Callithrix jacchus: one gene and its partners. The protein of the gene in region 2 interacts with the protein of the main gene of each other region in a pairwise test. Links are inferred from orthologs where the notes say so. Each region holds a gene or a part of one and is shown on either strand. Other genes may lie near its edges. The genes, in order: MAP1LC3C, TAX1BP1, PLEKHN1, GABARAPL2 and CXXC1.

Region 1 (4,175 bases), on a different chromosome or scaffold from region 2:
ACTAAACTAGGAAGAGCCACCACTCTGCTGCCAATAGCTGGACCTGATCACTCCCAGCATCCCTGCTTCTCAGACTCCTCCATATACATACAGGAGAAATCCAATCCCTTCTGCCAGCGGCTGATACGTCTGTCAGAGCACCTGTTCTTCCCCACATGGGCTAGAGAGGATTGCAGGGTCTGTCCTCAAGGCTGCTCCCATCCCAGGGGGGCTGATGACTCCAGGCAGCCAAACGTCTCCTGGGAGGCGTAGGTCTTGTACACGAAGCCGTCCTCATCCTTGTAGTCCCTGTAGATCTCTGCCATGGTTGCACTCATGCTGACCAGGTTCTTGTTGTTCACCAGCAAGTAAAAGGCTTCTGTGTCTCTCAGGACCATGCGGCTCCTGGGGTGGGCAGGAGGGTGGTGAGGGGGTGACCTGTGAGGCAGCCCAGGGATCTGCAGCATCATGACGCTCAAGAAGAGGGAATTGCTCCCTCCTTCTTCCCTGAGATTTAGAAACTACAAGGAGTCGTAGTTGGGTCAAAAGGGTGAGGTCATTCCATGGATGAAATATGCCAAAACACGACGAGGAAACACAGCAGGGAAAGATGACGACACAAACCTGCTAAGCGCGCTGGACAGGCGCCGTGGCTCAGGCCTGTCATCCCAGCACTTTGGGAGGCTGAGGCGGGGGAATCACAAGGTCAGGAGTTCAAGTCCAGCTTCGCCAAGACGGTGAAACCCCGTCTCTACTAAAAATACAAAAGTTAGCCGGGCGTGGTGGTGGGCACCTGTAAGCTACTTGGGAGGCTGAGGCAGAGAATTGTCTGAACCCAGGAGGCAGAAGTTGCAGTGAGCGGAGATCACACCACTGCACTCCAGCCTGGGTGGCAGAGCCAGACGCCATCTCAAAAAAAAAAAAAAAAAAAAAAGTTAAGTAAATAACTTCTGTTTGCTATGAAATTAAAGCTGTTTCCCCAGGGGTACAAAAGTGATACATAGTCTCTCTGGCATCTCACTTTTTTTTTGAGATGGAATTTCACTCACTCTGTTGCCCATGCTGGAGTGCCATGGTGTGATCTCAGCTCACTGTAACCTCCACCACCCAGGTTGAAGCGATTCTCCTGTCTTATCCTCCCAAGTAGGTGGGATTACAGCCGTGTGCCACCACATTCAGCTAGTTTTTGCATTTTTAGAAGATACGGAGTTTCACCATGTTGGCCAGACTGGTCTTGAACTCCTGATGTCAGGTGATTCACCTGCCTTGGCCTCCCAAAGTGCTGGGATTACAGGCTCGAGACACTGCGCCCGGCCTGGCATGTCACTGTTGAACAGCCTAGGATGACACTTGGAAGGGATCTCCTGCCTTGAAGTGTGCCCTTTCCTTCCTGTGTTATTTCTGCGTTCACATCAAGGCGATAGGAAGGCAGCCATATTTAGTTGAACACGCTTCAAATGCCAAGGGCAATCTGAGTGCCCAGTTATCCCGGAGCAGATGGCAGTGTGAAAACGTAGGTGCCTAGGTGAAGGCTTGGCCTCACTTTAAGCACACTTCCTCCAGGTGCTCTAATTGGTGAAGCGGGCACAGCCCACCCATTCCTATCTTAGAGCTTTGAGCCTTCAGGTGGGCTATGTCCATGCAGCAGTGGGAGATGGGAGTAACTAGAATCCAATTCATTTTACACCCAGATAACTCCTCCCCAAATAACCCCAAAGGTTTGGTCACTGACAATTATACAGCCATCTTTGTGTAAAATAAAATAGAGTAATTTTTTCTTTCTTTCTTTTTTTTTTTGAGATGGAGTTTTACTCTTGTTGCCCAGGCTGGAGTGCAACGGTGCAATCTCAGCTCACTGCAACCTCTGCCTCCCAGGTTCAAGCGATTCTCCTGCCTCAGCCTCTTGAGCAGCTGGCATTACAGGCGTGCACCCCCACACCCAGCTAATTTTTGTATTTCTAGTAGAGTCAGGGTTTCACCATGTTGGCTGGGCTGTTTTCGAATTCGTAACCTCAGCCTCCCAAAGTGCTGGGATTACAGGCATGAGTCGGTGCACCCGGATTTAAAATAGAATTATTCTAAGAGCATCTTTTCAGGGCACTAGTGAATCTGAAAGATGACTTCAAAAAAATCTCTTTCCTCTCTTTCCCTGACATACCCCCATCCCCAAAATAAAACCACCTAACGAAGGAAACAGAAGAGCCCCCACACACCCCCGACACCTTCCTCCCGGGCACGCTCTGCGCCACCTACCGGATGATGCTGAGGGACTGGGTCATGGTCAGCTCCTGCGGGACCAGGAACTTGGTTTTGTCCAGCCGGGGCAGGAACTTCTCCCTGGGGTAGCGCTCCACTATCACCTGTCAAGAGCGTCAGTCCTTAAGAATGTGACTCAGAGTTCTCTGAGTCTTAGGATCTTGGAACAGAGAGAGGGAAGTTGTTGGCTGGTCTTGGTTTTTTCAAAGGACAGGTTCAGAACCCCGCCCCCCACAAGGGAAGTACAATGATGTCTTACCGGGATCTTGTTTGGGAACTTTGCCCAGATTCCAGCAACTTCCTCTTGTCTGATTGCTGTGAATATTTCAAGCACAAGAGAATAAGCAAACATCAAGAGAAAGCCAGATCCTCTCCTCTCTTTCGAGTAACCCAGAAAGGTACCCCAAGAAATTTACCCAAGCTTTTCCTCTGCTTGAAAGGTCTGACGCTTGGGATTTTCTGTGGAGGCGGCATTTCACTCAACAGCTTTGTCTGTTTTAAGAAAGAAAAGAAAAGAAGAACAAAAGTACTGCAACCAGGAACCTAATTCATTCCTCCAGCTGCTTCCAAACTGCCTGCAGGAGCCTGCAGGGGGCCCTTATGTAGAGCTGAGTGACATCAGGCCTCTGCTCACCCGCCTCCCCCTCCCCGAGCAGCACGAGGTCAGTTCTGGTGGAAATGGAATCGCCACCTACTTGCTGGTCAGAGAAAAGCCACTTTATTCATGACCAGTTCAAGATGTTTCTTTGCAAAAGAAATTAGGGTTTGTAATAAAATCATTGGCTAGGCAGCGGACCGTGGAGACGTAAAACTGCCTTATGCTGGCGACGTTTCTGTACTTCAGTAGAGAACCACCTTGAGAGGAGTCCAAGATGGATCCACCTCAGCCTGAAGTGTGCTGTGTAATTCTCACCACAGTCCGTGCCCTTTTCACAGAAGGAAACCTATACTAAGAAAGGTGAAGTGAGGCCGGGCGCAGTGGCTCACACCTGTAATCCCAGCACTTTGGGAGGCTGAGGCAGGCAGATCAGGAGGTCAGGAGTTCGAGACCAGTCTGGCCAACATAGTGAAACTCTGTCTCTACTAAAAATACAAAAATTAGCTGGGCATGGTGGTGAGCACCTGTCATCCCAGCTACTTGGGAGGCTGAGGCAGGAGAATCGCCTGAACCTGGGAGGTGGAGGTTGTGATTAGTCAAGATTGCACCACTGCATTCTAGCTTGGGCAACAGCGTAAGACTTGCCTCAAAAAAAAAAAAAAAAAAAAAAAAAGGTGAAACGATTTGGCCGAGGGCACACAGCTACACAGATGCAGTTTGGATTAAAACCCATAGTTGTCGGCCAGGCGCAGTGCCTCATGCCTGTAATCCCAGCACTTGGGAGGCCAAGGTGTGTAGATCACCTGAGGTCAGGAGTTTGAGACCAGCCTGGCCAACATGCTGAAACCCCGTCTCTACTAAAAATACAAAAATTATCCAGGTGTGGTGGCAGGAGCCTATAATCCCAGCTAGTTGGGAGGCTGAGGCAGGAGAATCACTTGAACCCAGGAGGTGGAGGTTGCAGTGAGCTTAGGTCCAACCATTGCACTTCAGCCTGGGCAACAAGAATGGAACTCCATCTCAAACAAACGAACAAGCAAAAACCCGAACAAACCCAGAGTTGTCACAAGGAAGTCCAAGTACAACACTCTGGTAGGTATATTTTGTCATTTAGTTTTCTCTGGGATAAAAGAAGGAAGGAAGAACAACTGCCCCCAAGATCTCCCTTTTAGAGTTAAGAAAATGGGCCTCTAGTCATACATAGAGGGAACAAATGCCATTTCTCCTATATTCTCATAACAAAAATCAGAACCCTAGGCCTTTTGGGTTTTTATAGAGGTTTTAGTACATCCGCAAGATTGATTAAACCGTTGGCCACTGATAATCAATTTAACCTCCAACC
Region 2 (3,510 bases):
GATGTTTACATTTAAAAAGACTTAAAACATCAATTACTCTACACACTAAACAAGAAAATATACTTTCTCTAGTATTTAATGTCATTATTGTCAAATTTACATAAAGGTGAAAAAAATCAGGACAGATGAAAACCTAGTTAATCCAAATTTTCATGCTATTCATGTTTTTACTATGTCTCTCTAATCTGTTCTATAACTTAATAAAGTAATAAAAACAATTTAAAACTTCATAAAAAGTAATAAAAACTCATCAGCCAACAGGTACACTAACGAGGGAAGAAGTACCCTATTGATACAAAGCAGCCAAAAATTAATAAACAGAAAAACATGAGAACAGGGGATTTTTTTCCCCTGCAGAATTTAAAAATTAAAATGCCACAAATAAAATGCTTCACAATTCCATAGATTTAATGAAATATAAAGTAAATATTCAATTCGTGGCTTTTGTCCTATGTAGCCCAAATGAGTATTCACAAGCACCAGCTCATTTTTAACATGTGTGAATAATCTCAAGAAGATAACTACTAGTTTACATTCGTATTTTATATATGAAAGTTTTGTACATTCACCACATGCATGACTCTATTTTACATTTATGCCCTTATTTTCCCTTTGCCTCAATTTCCTCACTCATCCCATGAGGATTTTTATGAACATCCTGAAATTCTTACACATGAAAGAAAGCAGTATAAGTACTTTTCAATATAGGACATCCTACACAAAAAGTCTAAATGATTTTTACCTGCAGAAGGTGATGATGGCTTTACATCTACAGTAGAGGCAGAAGTGGCTGGGTCTGTGTTTACTGAAGCATCATTTACTTTCTGCTGACTCCCCATTTTCTTTGTGAAGACATTATTATTATTAGCCTATTCAAAACATTAATAAGTTGTTAAAATGATTCAATGAATTAGTTATATTTCCTTCTTGCAGTAACTATGTAAATATTATTTTTACATATTACTTTAGAAAATCCTAAGAAGTCTACAAGGCTGCTCTTGTTTTAAAAGCCAACAAAGACTAACATTATACACATCATTTTCCTGAAATGTTGAAAAATAAATATATTTTGCTTTTTCTTATAAACTCATCAAAACACCACCAAAATAAGTCATTCAAAGAAATCTACTAAAAGTTATAATGTGCTCAAAAAGCCCCAAGCCAAATTTATAGATGTGAGTGAGTCTTACTTAAAGTACCGTATTTTTTCACAAAAGCCTTCCTACTTTACTACATGTATTCCTTGTTTCTTTGTCACCTCTGATAAGTAAGACCAGGAAAGTATCACATGCATCATATAGTAAAAGAGAGCTATAGTACCACTTTCAACTTCAAGTTTTAAATATGTTCCTTCTACATTTCCAGGAGTTCCTCAGATAGCAAGCCTGTATTTAAGTACAATTTAAGGATCCACATTGAAACATACATATCTCAAAACAAAAGAATTTTCTTTGCCATATTAAAAATCTACCTACCTATTCTCAAATGGAATACAAAAGAATTAACTAATACTCTTTACTTCTTCCTAAAGACATGACTAGAAAGAACTTGCCAATGACAACTGAGAAACCATCTAAGACCCTAGGGATGATTAATGGTGAACTCCAGTGAGAATAAATGTCATTGTCACAAGAGTCAATAATATGTGTTGAGTTTTAAGTGACAAAGATATTCATCAAGAATTTAAAAGGGAAATGATCTAGAAAAAAGGACTCGCTCTCTCCTGCCCTTGTTTCCTTTGTTGGCTGTCCAGTAAATTAAAATTCCAGATTTTTTTTTAAAGAAGAATTATTACAATATTATGCCAATGACTTGAAATCAAGCAGAGATAAATTATATTTAAAAGATTGACATTTAGAATATTATAAATTTGATTTTCAAACAAAAATATTAACAAAATATTTTACTATGTGTAAATTTAATGATACTTACTGATTGATCTGAAAGTTTGTTTATTTGTTTTTGGAGTCTTTGGCATTCCTTAAATTTTTCTTTATAATGATCTGCAGCCATCTGAAGACGGAGTTTCAGATCTTCAACTTCTCTTCTTAGTTCATGTTCCAGTGTATCAGTCTTGTCCTAAGAAAGAAACAAACATTCTAAGAAAAAAATTAAAATCTGACACCTCCTCCTAATGTTAATAGTAACCCCAACTTCATTCTTACCTTTTTTCTTCTTTTTAAGACAGGGTCTTACTCTATGACCCAGGCTGAAACACAGTGGCCCAATTATGGCTCACTGCAGCCTTGACCTCCAAGCTCAAGCAATCCTCTTGCTTCAGCCTCCTGAGTAGCTAGGACTACAGGTACACATCACTATATCTGGCAAATTTTTAAAATTTTTTTGTAGAGATGGGGTCTCACTATGTTGCCCGGGCTGGTCTTGAACTCTTAAGCTCAAGCCATCTTCCCATCTCTGCCTCCCAAAGTGCTGAGATTATAGGTGTGAGCCACTGCCCTGGCCACTTTTTTCTTTATTTTGGGATTTTGGCTACAGAACAACATAGGGTCTTCTTAAGTCCAGTTTTACATTCTTAAGACTAAGGTTCATTTAAAAAACTAGAAAAAAATGGTTAATTCTCTTAACCATAATACTGTTTTATATAGCTAGTAAGGAATTCCAAACAAGGCAATATCTGACATCAATATATTCAATTAATAATAGGGCAGCTTTCACCAATTATTAAGAATTTTGCTCAAGTAAGTTTTTCTTACAGCATACATTAACAGCAAGCCAAGAAGTTACAATAACTAAACAAAAGGAATGAAAATTTAAAATTCTGATAAGAAATCTGACTTATTTTAATTTACTCTTTTGTGAGATTACAGTGGTTTTTAAAATTAAAATGCAAATTCAAAATTAACTTGCTTTACCTGATCTTTCTTCATAGCATTTAGTTGAAGTTCTGCCACTGCATCAGCTAACTGCTTTTTCACGTTCTCATTTTCCAAGCGTGCAGTATGCAGGTCTGCCATTGTTCTGTCTCGGACATTGACAGCATCACTAAGTTCCTTAGCCAGAAAGACAACTTCTTGCCGAGTTGCCTGAACCTGTTCTTCTGCTTTACGAAGCTGCTCCTTTAAAAAAAAAGTATCTTCCTGAAGAAAGCAAATAAATATATTTGTAATTCAACCATTCAAGTAAAAAACAAAAGCAGAAACAATTTTTACACATATTTCAAAAGAGCCAAAATTTTAGATATTGGTTTTTCTACTCATGACTTACAGAGTGTAGGCCTACAAAAAACTTAAGAAGTAACTTTGTTTTAGTTCCCTCTATAATACTGTGTACTCAGTTTCACTGCTACTGCTTTATACAGAGGAAGCTAAAGTACAGGGAGTCAGGCCACACATCCCGTGCTTAAGGACCTGCCCAAACTGAGGCTCAAACAACACATCGCATCCCCCAGAATCTCTCCAGCTAGAAATACTGACTCTCATTTTGTATGACAACCAGTAAAAATAATTCGAAAGGCTTCTTTGCAACACCAAAATTTTTGGTTAAAAGATG
Region 3 (4,104 bases), on a different chromosome or scaffold from region 2:
GCACACACATACACGGGGCACATGTATGCAAACATACATGTGCAGATGTGCATACACACACATAAACATTTTTGCACACATACATTCACATACATGCATACGCACATACACACACACAGACACTCTTCCCCACACAGAGCTGCCTGGTGGAGATGAGATTGAGATGTGGACTCAGTGGATTAAACCGTATCTTCACTCTTTCCTAAGACGTGTAATATGGCTGTGGTTATTCAACCTCTGAAGACTGGTTAAAAGAATTTGGGGGTGTGTGGGGGAAGTAACACCTAAAACTCTCTCGTGTCTGCAGTATTGGCCGGTAAATGTTTAGCACCTGGTTTTACAAACACACACGCACACCAAGGACCTGATTGATAACGCTTGCCAATTTCCTCAGTGTAAATGTCCCCACTGCCAGCCATTTCCAGCCCCCAGCCTGAGAGAAAGATATGAGGAGATTTCTGGAATCCATCCCCTGGGCGTGTGCCGGCCGCTCCCCAAGCTTCACTCGGGTGACAGCCAGGTCTTGGCAGTGCCCCAAGGGGTCTCCGTAGCTGCCTCTGCCTCACTGTCTCCTCACCTCAGGCCCAAGCTCTTCGGGACCACTCAGCCCTCACCCTAACCCTTACCCACTTTACAGCTTTGCTCTAACCTCACCTGTTCTAAGAGGCCCTTTTCTGAAAGTCCTAAAATTCCAGCCTTCCCGAGCCTCTGCACCTGGCCCCTCTATTTTTCTCCTTAGCGCCAACCCCACCCCACTTGCGGTATCTTCTATTTGTCCCATCACGTGTCTGCTGTGGGAATGAGAGCACCAGAAGAACAGGGGTTTCTGTCTCGTTCACTGCTGTGTCCCCAGAGCCTAAGATGGGGCCTGGGATGTGCTGTGGGCACCCACAGGGTGCTGACAGGGACGGAGGAATCTATATTCACCCACATTCAGCCAGTCCTGGCACACAGTCCTCTACAGATGGAGGCTGGAATCACCAACTTAGGGATCGGAAAGGGCATGGGCTTGAACCTGGGGCTGGAGAGCTTTGTGACCTATCCACAGGCTCAGGGGCAAGTGGGTAGGTGTCCTGCTCCCTCTAGGAGCTGCTAAGGGCTACCTGTAGGGCTGCTGTGCCCTGGCCAAGCTTAGCTGCCCCTGAGCAGGCCCAGGAATGTGAAGGGACAGATGCGTGGCTTCCCCGGCCTCCTGCCTCTGGGTGGGGCCTCCTGTGCCCACACCCAGCATGGGAACTGATGCCGGGCTGGCACCCATGAAAAACAGGCCACAAATCAGGAAGGGCCACACAGCTGGTCCTGCAGCCCAGCTCAGCCTTGGGGCCCTGAGGAGGACGCAGCCTGGAGCAGTGGCAGGGCCAGTTCACAGCACGGGTGCAGAGCCCAGGCACAGGGTGGAGGTGAATGGCTCTAGGACAAACCCAAAACTCCTCCCCCAGCCCCATCTTCTGAGATTCAGCAGGTTTTTCCCTCTCCGGCTACCATGTCCTGGCAAGGGAGGACCACCAGGGTCACCATACCTCATAGGACCCTACCAGGGTCACACTGCACATCCTGGGCTTGGACAGAGAGAGTGTGGTGGCTCAGATGCAGCCAGAGACCCCCTACCCCTGACCCAGCCCGGCTCTGCTCCCTGCCCACGCCTCTGAGATAGCATGTTTCTGAAGCCTGCCCCTATCTGCAGGGTGCCCTGAAACTCGGGGGGTCAGGAGAGGCTACGGCACAAGCTTCCTGCCTGGTGGGCCATGGTGGGAAGGGATCTGTACAGTGCAGGGCAGAGGTCCTCCCCCTAGATCCCCCTGGGGCCCATATAGCAGAGCCCACCCATCCAGGTTGCCCGAGGGGGCTGCAGTGGGAATTCCTGTCTGCCCTGAAGCCCAGATTCCTCCTCCTGTTCCCTCAACCCAGCACCGGCCGCGTCTCAAAGGGGCTGGGTGTCTCTATCCTGTGAAGACCCTCAGTACCCCGGGCCCCGCAGGGTGGGTGTGGGCCGTTTACACTCCTTCCATGGCGAGGTGGCCGCGTGTGGGCCAGGGAAATACCTCCTTGCTGCGAGGATTTGGCAGGCTGGGAGGAGGCCTGAGCAGTGCGCACAGTTGCTGTGGACCAGGCGGCCAGCCAGCAGCAACTTCCTGCGAGACGCCGGTGGGGAAACTGAGGCCGGCGTAGGTGACCGGAGGGCTCACTGCTCTTCTGAGGCCTCTTACTCCCCATGGACGCTACCAGCACGACCCCAGCCCCACTGCAACAGCCGAGATGTGCGTGCTGGTACCCCGCCCGGCCCGCCCCGCCCCGCCCAGCGCGCTCCGACTGACTCAGTCCCGCGTCTCGGTTTCGCTCTCCGCTCAGACTTTCGGCCGGATGAACTCCCCGGGGCGGGGCTGCTCCTCACCTGGGGGGGTCTGACTCCCCCGAGCCGGGCCGAGGGAGGCGCGGCGCACATGCACAGGCAGAGCCGTTCCCCGCCCGCCGCTCACCATGCCCGGGATGTAGTGGAAGAGCTTGTCGGCGGCGGTGTCCCCGCTCCCAGCGGCCTCGGGGCCCAGCAGAATGGCCGGCTTCCGCGCACTGTCCTCTCTGGGGACGAGGGAAGGGCTCACGGGCTGGACCCGGAGCAGGCGGAGGAGCCCCGCGCCCAGGTGGCCGCGCCCATGCCCCTCACCTGTTTCCCTTCAGCGAGGGCTTCCTGGAGAAGGAGGCCCGGAGCCTTCTGGGGGCCTGCGGGACGCAGTGGCTGTTCCCCATGGCCGAGTCACAGGTTGGCAGGTCTGGGTCCCCTTCCACAGCCTTCTGCTGCCGCCTCCCTGGGGCAGGCGGGGCTGTGGGACGTCCCACCTGGCACTGAGGGCTGGGCCAGGGTGGAGCCTTTCTGGAAGGGGCCTGGCCCTACCTGAGCCATCCGGGTCTCTGCCCTGGGCCCACCACACCGAGAGGCCAGCCTTGGGGCGAGCACCCCTCTGGCCCAGACAAGGCCTCCAGTGTGCAGGGAGTCCCCACTTGCCTGTGCTTGGCTTGGCGAACCCTGGCTGCCCCCAAGAACCATGTGGGCACACATCCCATTTCCATCTACACCCTGGCAGGCCTGAGTCACCCCAGCCTCTCCTCCTGTGTGGCCTCCTCACCACAGGCCTGAGGAAGGATCCCCAAGGTTTAAGGAGACCCAGAAGGCCACATGCTCCCTAGGCAGCCAGGACAGTTGGGGTACACGGGGGCAACGCTGTTCTGCCTGGCCCCACCCCCAGACCTCGGCCTCAGGACCCAGCCCTGGCAAACCCCACTCACAGCTGGGGACTGGCCACAAGGACTCCATGGCCCCAACCCACCCCCCCACCATGCACAGCTCTACCTTTCAGCCCTCAGAGGCTCACGCAGCAATTCAGACCCCACCCCCCACCCCAACAGGACCCAAGTTGTGCAGGTGCCCCACAAGCCAGAGAGATGCTCGGCCTCAGGCCTGAGGAGCCCAGGAAATGTGTTTATTGTTCAAGTTGGCTTGTATTGCTGTGTAGGGTCCGTGTGCACGTGTGCACCCACTACAAGACCCAGGGAAGACAGCACGTGGCGTGGCAGACAGGACCCTGCTCCCATCCTTCCCAGGACCCCCATGTGCAAGTGAGGACCGTGTGCAACAGCTGAGTCTGCAGCTGCTTGGAAGGCCCCAGGACCTCGTGCTCCTCGGCCTGCAGGGTCTGAGCAGGCGGTGGCCCTGGGGCAACGAGTGGGTGGGAGGACACAGAGGACTAAACGCTCAAGGTGTAAAGGAGCGGCTGCAGCACCACTCAGCCCTCAATAAATAAATAAACAACTAAACACAGACAAAAAGGAATGGTCGGAAGATGCGAACAGATGGTGCAGGGCGTCCCTGGTGGGGGCCATGGCCCCCTTAAGGCATGTGGGAGGCTGCGGGACTCTGGCAGTGGCTGGGTCAGAGGCTGGTGGAGGACACGGAGAGCGTGGGCGAGGATGGTGGCGGAAAGTTGAGCAGCTCCAGCACCGCGACGCCCACGCTGCTGCGCCGGGTGAACATGCAGGAGGCAGCCACCCACTTGTTGGTCCTCGGGTTGTACTTCTCGATGGAGTTGAGGCTGGAGCTGCCATCGTTGC
Region 4 (4,160 bases), on a different chromosome or scaffold from region 2:
GAGCTTTCCACCTTTAACAGAAATAAAGTCTGGAATTTGGCACGGGCCTCTTAGGAAGTCTTCAAGGATTTTCAACAGGAACCTATCTGGGCAACATTGGGCTAGTTCCCAGGGCTTCTGAAAGCCTTCACTTTTAGAAGTATTACTTCTGGGGGTGGTAAATGAAACCTACTTTGGGTCACTAAGGTAAGATGTGGCCAGGAACTCACACTCAGGGGAGAGGTGAGGGCCAGAATCTGGATCAGAGCCTAGAACTACCCACTCAGTAACAGGAAAGGACTGACCAGGAGCTTAGACGGAGCCTGTCCATTTTCCTCATTCCAGAGGGGACTAAAGCTGGGCTGTCAAATACACAGAAAATGGAAATTCTAATGCCCCTGCCTACATTCGGGCTGCAAGTTACACTCCCAAAGACTGCTTCCAGGCAGCACCATAGTCTGACAGTCAAAGCAGGTGCTACCAAGGAAGGTTTAAGTCTGTAAAGAGACTTCAGAGCCCTTTACTGTGCTGCAGTCATTTTGTCAGACTTGAGGATCAGACAGCTATAGACTCTTACAATGGCAGAGAGCTGACGAAGTTTGGGAGCACGCAAACCGCTTGATTAACTGAGTAAGCCTCAGCAGAACCCACAGGTTCCCAGTGGAGGAGAGTGGCCAGACTGTCTTCAGGGAAGAAAACCTCATTTCAGGCATCAGTTCTACCTATGGCTTAAGCCTAAATAAGTCCTCAATGTTTTAAAAGATTCTTGGAGGTCTCAGGCTGAGTTTCATCCCTTTTTTAGAAGTCCAGGCCTTGTTCTATTTTCCGAATCTAAAATGCACCCTTATGTATTGCAGCCGTTATTTTCCTGGAGCCCCTGATGTCAGGGAGCACAAAATCCAGATTTCTAGTCAGAACCCCCAAGAGTTTTCAGACCTCCAAAGTTTTTGAGTTCTCTAAGCAGCCAACCAGATGTCTAACACCAGAGGACCCATCTAGTAAACACCTCTCACCTGGACTGTGGGACTGTCTTATCCACAAACAGGAAGATCGCCTTTTCAGAAGGAAGCTGGATCCTTTTCCTGATGATCCACATGAACTGAGCCACAGTGATATCAGATGGAACCAAGTACTTCCGTTTGTCAATGTCAACAATCTGAGAGCCTGAGACCTTTTCCACAATCACCTGGGAAAATAAAGAGAGGTCAGGACTGGGTTTCTAAAGCCAGGCTCTGGCCTCAAGGCTGAGGAGCTGAGGAACAGAGTGTGGGCAAGGAGGTGGGTGGGAAACTGCATAGCAGGAGAAAATATGTCTTTGGCTTAATAACCACATGCTCTGGAGGTTAAGAATTGATATAAATGGGTTATAGGGAAACGGTAAGTGCTTTTCTGTGGTCAGTTATGTAAGAAAAATGCAGCCCTTACTACTAAGCTTTTCCACATTTTATCTGGGCAGACCTAAGAATATGTGGGGATCCACATCCATAGCCCATTACTCCAGGACCCCAGAATGGATCCCCTTCACACTACAGGAAACACTACTGTGTTCCCAAGGAACACAGGAGACAAGAACAGATGGACTAATGGGAATGCCTGGAATTTCAGCCAGCCAAGAACCAAGCTCTTCATTTGGCCTGTTGCTCTTCTCTGAACAAGTTTCAAATCCGTCCCTCCTTCCCCCAACGGAATTATTCACAAGCAAAGAGCTACAATAACAGGCCTTAATGTCCATTAAAAATTAACAAGAATTACAAAACTATCTCCCCAAACATGGAAAAAATATATTTACTACTGACTAGGAAGAAAGCATAACAGAAAAGGGTTTTCAGCGGCTTCTCACATTGTTTTGGTCAGGCAGGGATGACAGGGTCAAGGTGAGGCAACGGAGCCAGAATTTGGGTAAAGATGGAGGCTCCAAGTAAAAGGTGAAGGTCCTGAGACTCAAGTACCACTTCCAAGACCAAAGTGACAGTCTCCCTCCACCACCGTTCCCAAAAGTGGCAGTGACCTGTTGCCCTGTCCTAGAACATCGTTCCTTACATAATTGGCCAGGGAGCCCCGAGGCTGCAGACAGCTCTCGCTGGCCTAGATCCGGAGATTCAGCACTGAGGCACCCTGAACAGCACCAGCCCGAGCCCCTCACGCCCCGGCCCTGGGCGGCCTCATCGCAGTCTGGCCCGTCCTCTACTACAACTGGGAATGGAACCTCAACTTGTCAACTGTTGAATGGCCTAGGGCCTATCACGGCTCCCAGATGACAGAGGTGACAGCGAGGTGAGGGGGCGGAGAGTCCAATCACTCACCGGAACCCGGTCAGGATATTTCGCTCGGATCTTCGCGGACTCCACGCATCTGTGTTCTGTGGCAGAAACAAACAGGGCTGACGGCCGCGCCTGCCCACAGGTCGGTTCCGGGCCCTCGGCCCTCCTCCTCCTGCGCCTTGCGCACAGCCCAGGCCCTCGTTCCGGCGTCCCCACGGCCGCGGTCCTGTCCCCTAGCTCCCAGGGGGGTCCGCGGAGAGTGACGCGGGGTCGAGGGACGGCTGCTCGTGGCACCGGAGCCTTGGCGGCTCGAGCCCGGAGCGCGGCATACGTCCTGCTTCACCCGGCCCAGGGCCGCCCGAGTGGGGGAGGGGGCCCACCTGCCGCCGCGGCCCCCCGCGGCCGGTCCGATGGCCAAGTGCTTACCCAAAGAGTGGTCCTCCTTGAACATCCACTTCATGGCGGCGGCGGGGAGGGGATGGAACCGGCTCTCGGAGCCGTGGAACTCGGCGTACCGACCACAACAACAACGGCGGCGGCGGTAGCAGCGACGGAGGCGACTACACGGCAGGCGGGACTTCCGGCTGCTGGAGCCTAGCAACCGGTCAGGGGCGGGGCTTCCGGCGCCACTGGCCAGGAAGCTATGCCAAGGGGCGGGGCCGCACGTAGTCACGGAGGGCTCCTTCTGGGGGCTACTAGGCTGCGGAGGCGGTGAAGTTGGTTACGGGGGCGTCTGTGAGCAATATCGGCGACCCCAGGAAGAAATGTTCGGGGAACTGGTGACAGGAGTGGGGTCTCGGGAGTGTTTGTGGCGGGAAGCGTCTGGCTGATAGTGTATGGCTCTGAGGGCTCTTTGGGGGTGTGGCTGATAGTTGAGGGCTCTTAGAGCGTTTATAGGGGAGGTCTGAATAGGGAATTGGTGACAAGAACGGTCTTTGGGAGTAAGAATGACTTAAGGGGAGTCTCTAGTGCTTGGCGATGACAAGGGAGCTGTTTTGGGCGTTGACAGTTTGGGGGTTATTGCTCGGAGTGGTGACAGGGTGGGGGCACAGTATGGGAGGGGTGGTGTTTGAGGACACTGTGTAGGAAGCAGCACTGAGGACAACCTGGACGTCCAGTATTAGGGACAGCGGTAATAGGTTGCCTTGGACCTAGAAATTGAATTTAAACAAATCCCATTTTCTTCCCTTATTCGTGAATCTATTTGAATAAACATTTACGAAATGCACATTCGAGGTAGGACGTGGTGGCTCCCGCCAGTAATCCCAACACTTTGGGAAGCCGAGGCAGGAGGATCCCCTGAGGTCAGGAGTTCGAGACCAGACTGGCCAACAGGGTAAAACCCCATTTCTACTAAAAATACAAAAATTAGCCAGGCATGGTGGCACACACCTGTAGTCCCACCTCCTTGGGAGGCTGTGGCTGGAGAATCGTTTGAACCCGGGAAGCGGAGGTTGCAGTGAGCCAAGATGGCCTGGGTGGGAACAAGACTCTGTCTCAAAAACAAACAGACAAACAAATGCACATTTGAAGAGTATAACATAACTGATCACAGACCCTTTAACCTTAACTGGCAGAGGAGTTAGAGGTGACAGTCAGGCTTGGAGAATTCCCCTGAGAGCTGGTCATGAGATGGGTTTCCTTGTTTGGCTGTGGGAGTGGTTTAGCAGTCACAGCCCAAGCTGTGTGTGTCACCTGCCCAGACATATGCCTTGAGGTTCTCCAGCCAGTGATGTAATGCCTTTCTTCCAAGCAGAGTCATCAAGGCAGTCTGGTCTAGGTCACCATCTGTTTATAAGCTGCTGAGCACGTAGCAAGAATATTCACTTAATTTGGGCACATGAACCCTGCCACATGCTTGTGATTCTGATGCACCTGTAAAGCCTGTATGTTTGAACATGCTAGTTCATCATTTCCTAC
Region 5 (4,054 bases), on a different chromosome or scaffold from region 2:
CAACCCCACCACCTACTCATGTCCCAAATCAGCCTTCCATACCCTCTGTCTCCTCATTAGAGATACTCTCTGCTTCTGTCACCTCCACCCTTCCACCAGGGGATGCGCCTGTCTGCTCACCAGGCCATGGTCATCAAAGGCCCCTGCACAGAAATCCTGATACAGGTCAGGATCCAGAGGTAGGTCCTCATCTGAGAGTGGCTCAGGCGTGGCTGTAGCCTCAGGAGGCTCCTTGACTGCTGATGACGCCACTGCCCCCTCATCTTCACGGATGCGCCCTAACTTCTGTGACGGCTGTGGCTGCTGTTGGGTGGGCAGTGGCCGACGGGGCCTTGGCAGGGACTCTGAGGGCGTCACTGGCGAGAGCTGCAGGGCAGAATCTCAGGACTGGCCCTGACCGCCCTGCCCACATGCCCCGCCCTGCCCTGGGGGGCTGGACTCACCGAGGAAGGGAAGTACTTGTACGATTCCTGTGCCGGCAGGAGGAAGGCCCAGGTCAGCCCCAGGTGGATGGAGTGTGGCCTTGTCCTAGCCCCACCCACCTGGCCTGGCCTTGCCTCCCTAGACATACCTCCCCGCTATCCCTCATTACCAGGACATGCTCAGCCCTGCCTGATCCTCACTGACATGCATGACCAACTGGAAACACCTGGCCCCACTCTGTCCACCCAGGGTTAGTGGGGTTTCTGCCAGCCCAGCATACCTTGTCATGCCCCATTCATCTGGACATGACAGGCCTCTTTCCACCTATCTAGTCAGGCACAATCCCACCTGGCCCATGCCTAGACTTAACTAACCCTGCATGGACCCACCAGCTCTCCCACACCTGACCCTACCCAGCTCTGTCCATGCTCACCCGGGCCCGCAGCTGGCACTGGCGCAGCCGGCATTTCTGCCGGATCTTGTTGGGGCCTCCAAACTTTTTCATGTCCCGACAGAAATCACAGTGACCACAGTCCTCAGTGCGCCGACATGCCTCGCACTCACCACACATGCGGGCTGACCGTTTGATCTGCTGCTGCTGCTGCTGCTGCTGCTGGAGGAGGGGGCCCAGAGAAGAAATCACCGACCCAGGCAGGGCCAACATGGAACCACTTTACACATCCACGCACTTTATACAGCCACTCACCTGGCTGGGTGTGGCCACCAAGGGCTGCGGAGAGGATTTGTGGGGTGAAGCAGAGCCCCGAGCAAGCATGGCCCCAACCCCTGTCCCTGACCCTGCCCGACGCTGCAGGTCTGGATCCGGGACAGGCCTCTTGCGCCCTCCACCCTCATCCCGGGGCTCGCTGCCATCCCGCTCATTGCCATCCCGCTCCCGTGACTTCTTGTGCCGATAGCGAATCTCTAGCTTGGGGTCCTTCTCTGTGGGGCAGAGAGTAGGGATAAGGTGAGCATGGAGGGCATGAATGGTTCCAAAACCTCTTTATTCCCCTTTTCTCCCTTACTGTCCCACTTACCTATTCACCTCTGTACACGACAGAGCTGCCCCTTCCCGTGGGGTCTTCTATTACCACTCACAATGCAGCCCCCATTCCAGCTCACCACAGACATGTATTACTACTCCCCATTATCCCCCACTGTGGCTCCCCCACCGCCTCTGAAGCCCCTCCTGACTTCCTTGTCCATGCATGGCCCTCACCTCGGCACTCCCGACAGTACCACTCCCGGATGGCCTTGGCCATCTTCTCAGTGATCCGGATGCAGTCCCCATGGAACCACTCATTGCAGTTGTCACACCCGCTGCAGAGGATGGGACAGGTGGTGAATATGTAAGGGGCACAGCCAATGGACCTTACCCCACCCTGCCAGTGTCAGTCCCGCCCACCTCTCCCGGGCTCACATCATGAAGCAGTTGATGTCCGGTTTGCGACAGATGCAGTAAATGGGCGCATTCTCCCCATTCTCCGACTTGCTGTCCTCCCCAGCATCTGGAGGCTCTGGGTCTGAACCATCACCCTCCTGCGGGACACCCCCATTACGGCTCTTTAAACAGCCCCCACCGTGGCGGCTCATCCCAGCATTACAGCTCCATCATGGTCAGCACGGATCCCCACTCTGCCTGCAGATTTCCCATCGGGGCCCCCAAAAAACCTCTCCATCACAGTCCCCACTGACTCCCATCCCTTCCCCTGACATCCCATTACTCGGCTTCATACTTCCCATCACACACCCACAGGCACCCGCTCCCTCTGTCTACACTCACTGGCGGGTCATCGAGACCCAACATCGTGGCGCCTCACAGACCCCGCCTAACTCACTCCTTGAACTTCCCATCACGGTTCTCCACGCATCCCTCCCTGTTTACTTCACAGACCCTCCCGGCACCCGCACCCCCAGTCTCAGCTGTCTACGGATCCCCGGCCAGGGACTCTTCCTCAGCACGGCTCACCACAGACCGCCCAAAGTGATTCCTCACAACCCCCTTATCCCTCTGCCCAAAGAACCCCCAATCATGGTTTCCCACGGAACTACCGGGTACCCGGAGTCCCCACTAAACTTCTATTACGGACCCCCACCGTGGCTCACCATAGAATTCCCAGATGGCTCATCATTCTGCCCATAGACTCCCGCCGTTCTGTCCAGACTCCGGTTATCGCTCACCACAGACCCCCTAGTCGGCCGACAGACCCCGAGGTTGCCAACCCCACTGACCTCCGCCGCCGAATCCCTCACTAGACGCGGTACTCACCATATCTCCGCTCCCGGCGCACTCCTTCAGGACCCCGGCCGCGACCCGCGAACCTACACAGACCCCCTCAGCGGCGTTCCAGGCGGTTGCAAAGGCGCCCACAACTACTTCCGCTTCTGGTCACGCCTCCCAGGCAGCGTACTCCTGTTGCGCAGGCCCCGTGAGTCGTCTCCGCCGCAAACCATTAGGCGCCGCCATCTTGATTACGTATCCGTATGGTGGCCGGATCCATACCATCGCCGGGAACATGGCTGCGCTCAATCCTGGCTTTCGCGATGGGGCCGCCACCTTGTCAATAGAGTCCGTACGGTGGCTGCTGGTACTGTCTCGACGTACAGGTAACATGGCTGCATCTACTGCGTGACTTCCTCACAGATGCCGTCATCTTGGAATCTGATTCCGTACGTGGGTCGAATTAGTACGGTCCTAGAAGACACATGGCGGCGACCTAATTGCGGATTCCACAAGGGCGCCGCCATCTTGATGGTTGATTACGTACACTGGCCGCTTGTCAGAGAGATTCACAGGTAAAGCTGCCGCTCCCGAAACACTACCTGGATCAAGTCTTATTCATTCCTCCATTCAGTCTCTTTCTCTATCCACATGCGTTAATGGGGCGTCGACAGGCTATATACCTTCCGCGGTGGAGGAAACCAGTTCTTCTGTCGTCTCCGACTTCACCTGCCACCACTCTTTCCGGATCTCACTCCTCCCACTTGTCATTCTTCTGCCAGGCCTGGCACGGTTCAGCTTCTATTTATTTTATTTTTATTTAAAAACAGTTCTAAAACTAACATCAAATCTTATTTTAGTTCTATAAGCTGCACAATAAGCCTAAGCACAGTTTACTTACCCATTTCTTTGTTGCTTAGCATTTAGAACATTTTCAAATGTTATTGTAAATAAAGTTGCAATGAACATTCTTAAACATAGATCGGTATGCTCATTCCTGATTATCTCTTGTGAAATATGATATACAAAACGATGTCACTCTGGTTAAGAGCTGTAAAATGGAGCCTGGAAGCCATTCTAAGGACTCCCCGCAAACTTGCAAAAAGGAAAACAAACCAAAACTAAAACACAACAGGAATTTGCCTCGAACCTTTGAATTGGTCCAAACTACAACGACCACACGGTCCTGGAAACCAGCTATATTTCACCAGTGCTGCGTCTCCTGAACAAAACCAATGAACTATAGACTCATGCTGGCCAGCTGCCTCCAGCAATAATAATTCCTTTAAAAGAATTTGTGTAATCATCCTTAATTTCCTTTTTATTTTTCTTTAAAACTCCTACTCCCATTTCTCTCTTTGGAGCACAATCTGACTTTGAGCTGAATCTGGGTCTCCTGAATTGCAGTTC

What was found.
Region 1: the proteins of TAX1BP1 (region 2) and MAP1LC3C interact in binary tests that used the Homo sapiens proteins (3 or more experiments, as listed by UniProt). The link is inferred for Callithrix jacchus from reciprocal best matches to the Homo sapiens genes TAX1BP1 and MAP1LC3C.
Region 3: the proteins of TAX1BP1 (region 2) and PLEKHN1 interact in binary tests that used the Homo sapiens proteins (3 or more experiments, as listed by UniProt). The two-hybrid records come from large-scale screens. The link is inferred for Callithrix jacchus from reciprocal best matches to the Homo sapiens genes TAX1BP1 and PLEKHN1.
Region 4: the proteins of TAX1BP1 (region 2) and GABARAPL2 interact in binary tests that used the Homo sapiens proteins (3 or more experiments, as listed by UniProt). The link is inferred for Callithrix jacchus from reciprocal best matches to the Homo sapiens genes TAX1BP1 and GABARAPL2.
Region 5: the proteins of TAX1BP1 (region 2) and CXXC1 interact in binary tests that used the Homo sapiens proteins (3 or more experiments, as listed by UniProt). The two-hybrid records come from large-scale screens. The link is inferred for Callithrix jacchus from reciprocal best matches to the Homo sapiens genes TAX1BP1 and CXXC1.

Annotation. Positions count from the first base shown.
Region 1 is NC_133520.1:43,983,859-43,988,033, reverse strand, and holds the start of MAP1LC3C (microtubule-associated protein 1 light chain 3 gamma), read right to left. Parts: upstream 2,809-4,175; 5' UTR 2,710-2,808; coding exon 2,652-2,709; intron 2,551-2,651; coding exon 2,495-2,550; intron 2,340-2,494; coding exon 2,233-2,339; intron 385-2,232; coding exon 186-384; 3' UTR 1-185.
Region 2 is NC_133512.1:30,310,705-30,314,214, forward strand, and holds part of TAX1BP1 (tax1-binding protein 1), read right to left. Parts: intron 3,099-3,510; coding exon 2,874-3,098; intron 2,080-2,873; coding exon 1,933-2,079; intron 870-1,932; coding exon 743-869; intron 1-742.
Region 3 is NC_133508.1:39,187,078-39,191,181, reverse strand, and holds the start of PLEKHN1 (pleckstrin homology domain-containing family N member 1), read right to left. Parts: upstream 2,807-4,104; 5' UTR 2,746-2,806; coding exon 2,663-2,745; intron 2,578-2,662; coding exon 2,478-2,577; intron 1-2,477. Other genes in the region: KLHL17 (kelch-like protein 17), read right to left, coding at 3,780-4,104. UniProt on the Homo sapiens protein: Controls the stability of the leptin mRNA harboring an AU-rich element (ARE) in its 3' UTR, in cooperation with the RNA stabilizer ELAVL1.
Region 4 is NC_133521.1:32,971,097-32,975,256, reverse strand, and holds the start of GABARAPL2 (gamma-aminobutyric acid receptor-associated protein-like 2), read right to left. Parts: upstream 2,810-4,160; 5' UTR 2,701-2,809; coding exon 2,667-2,700; intron 2,339-2,666; coding exon 2,283-2,338; intron 1,166-2,282; coding exon 993-1,165; intron 1-992. UniProt on the Homo sapiens protein: Ubiquitin-like modifier involved in intra-Golgi traffic. Modulates intra-Golgi transport through coupling between NSF activity and SNAREs activation. It first stimulates the ATPase activity of NSF which in turn stimulates the association with GOSR1.
Region 5 is NC_133514.1:93,470,243-93,474,296, forward strand, and holds the start of CXXC1 (CXXC-type zinc finger protein 1), read right to left. Parts: upstream 2,805-4,054; 5' UTR 2,696-2,804; coding exon 2,693-2,695; intron 1,963-2,692; coding exon 1,844-1,962; intron 1,744-1,843; coding exon 1,643-1,743; intron 1,366-1,642; coding exon 1,130-1,365; intron 1,037-1,129; coding exon 857-1,036; intron 471-856; coding exon 444-470; intron 367-443; coding exon 121-366; intron 1-120. UniProt on the Homo sapiens protein: Transcriptional activator that exhibits a unique DNA binding specificity for CpG unmethylated motifs with a preference for CpGG.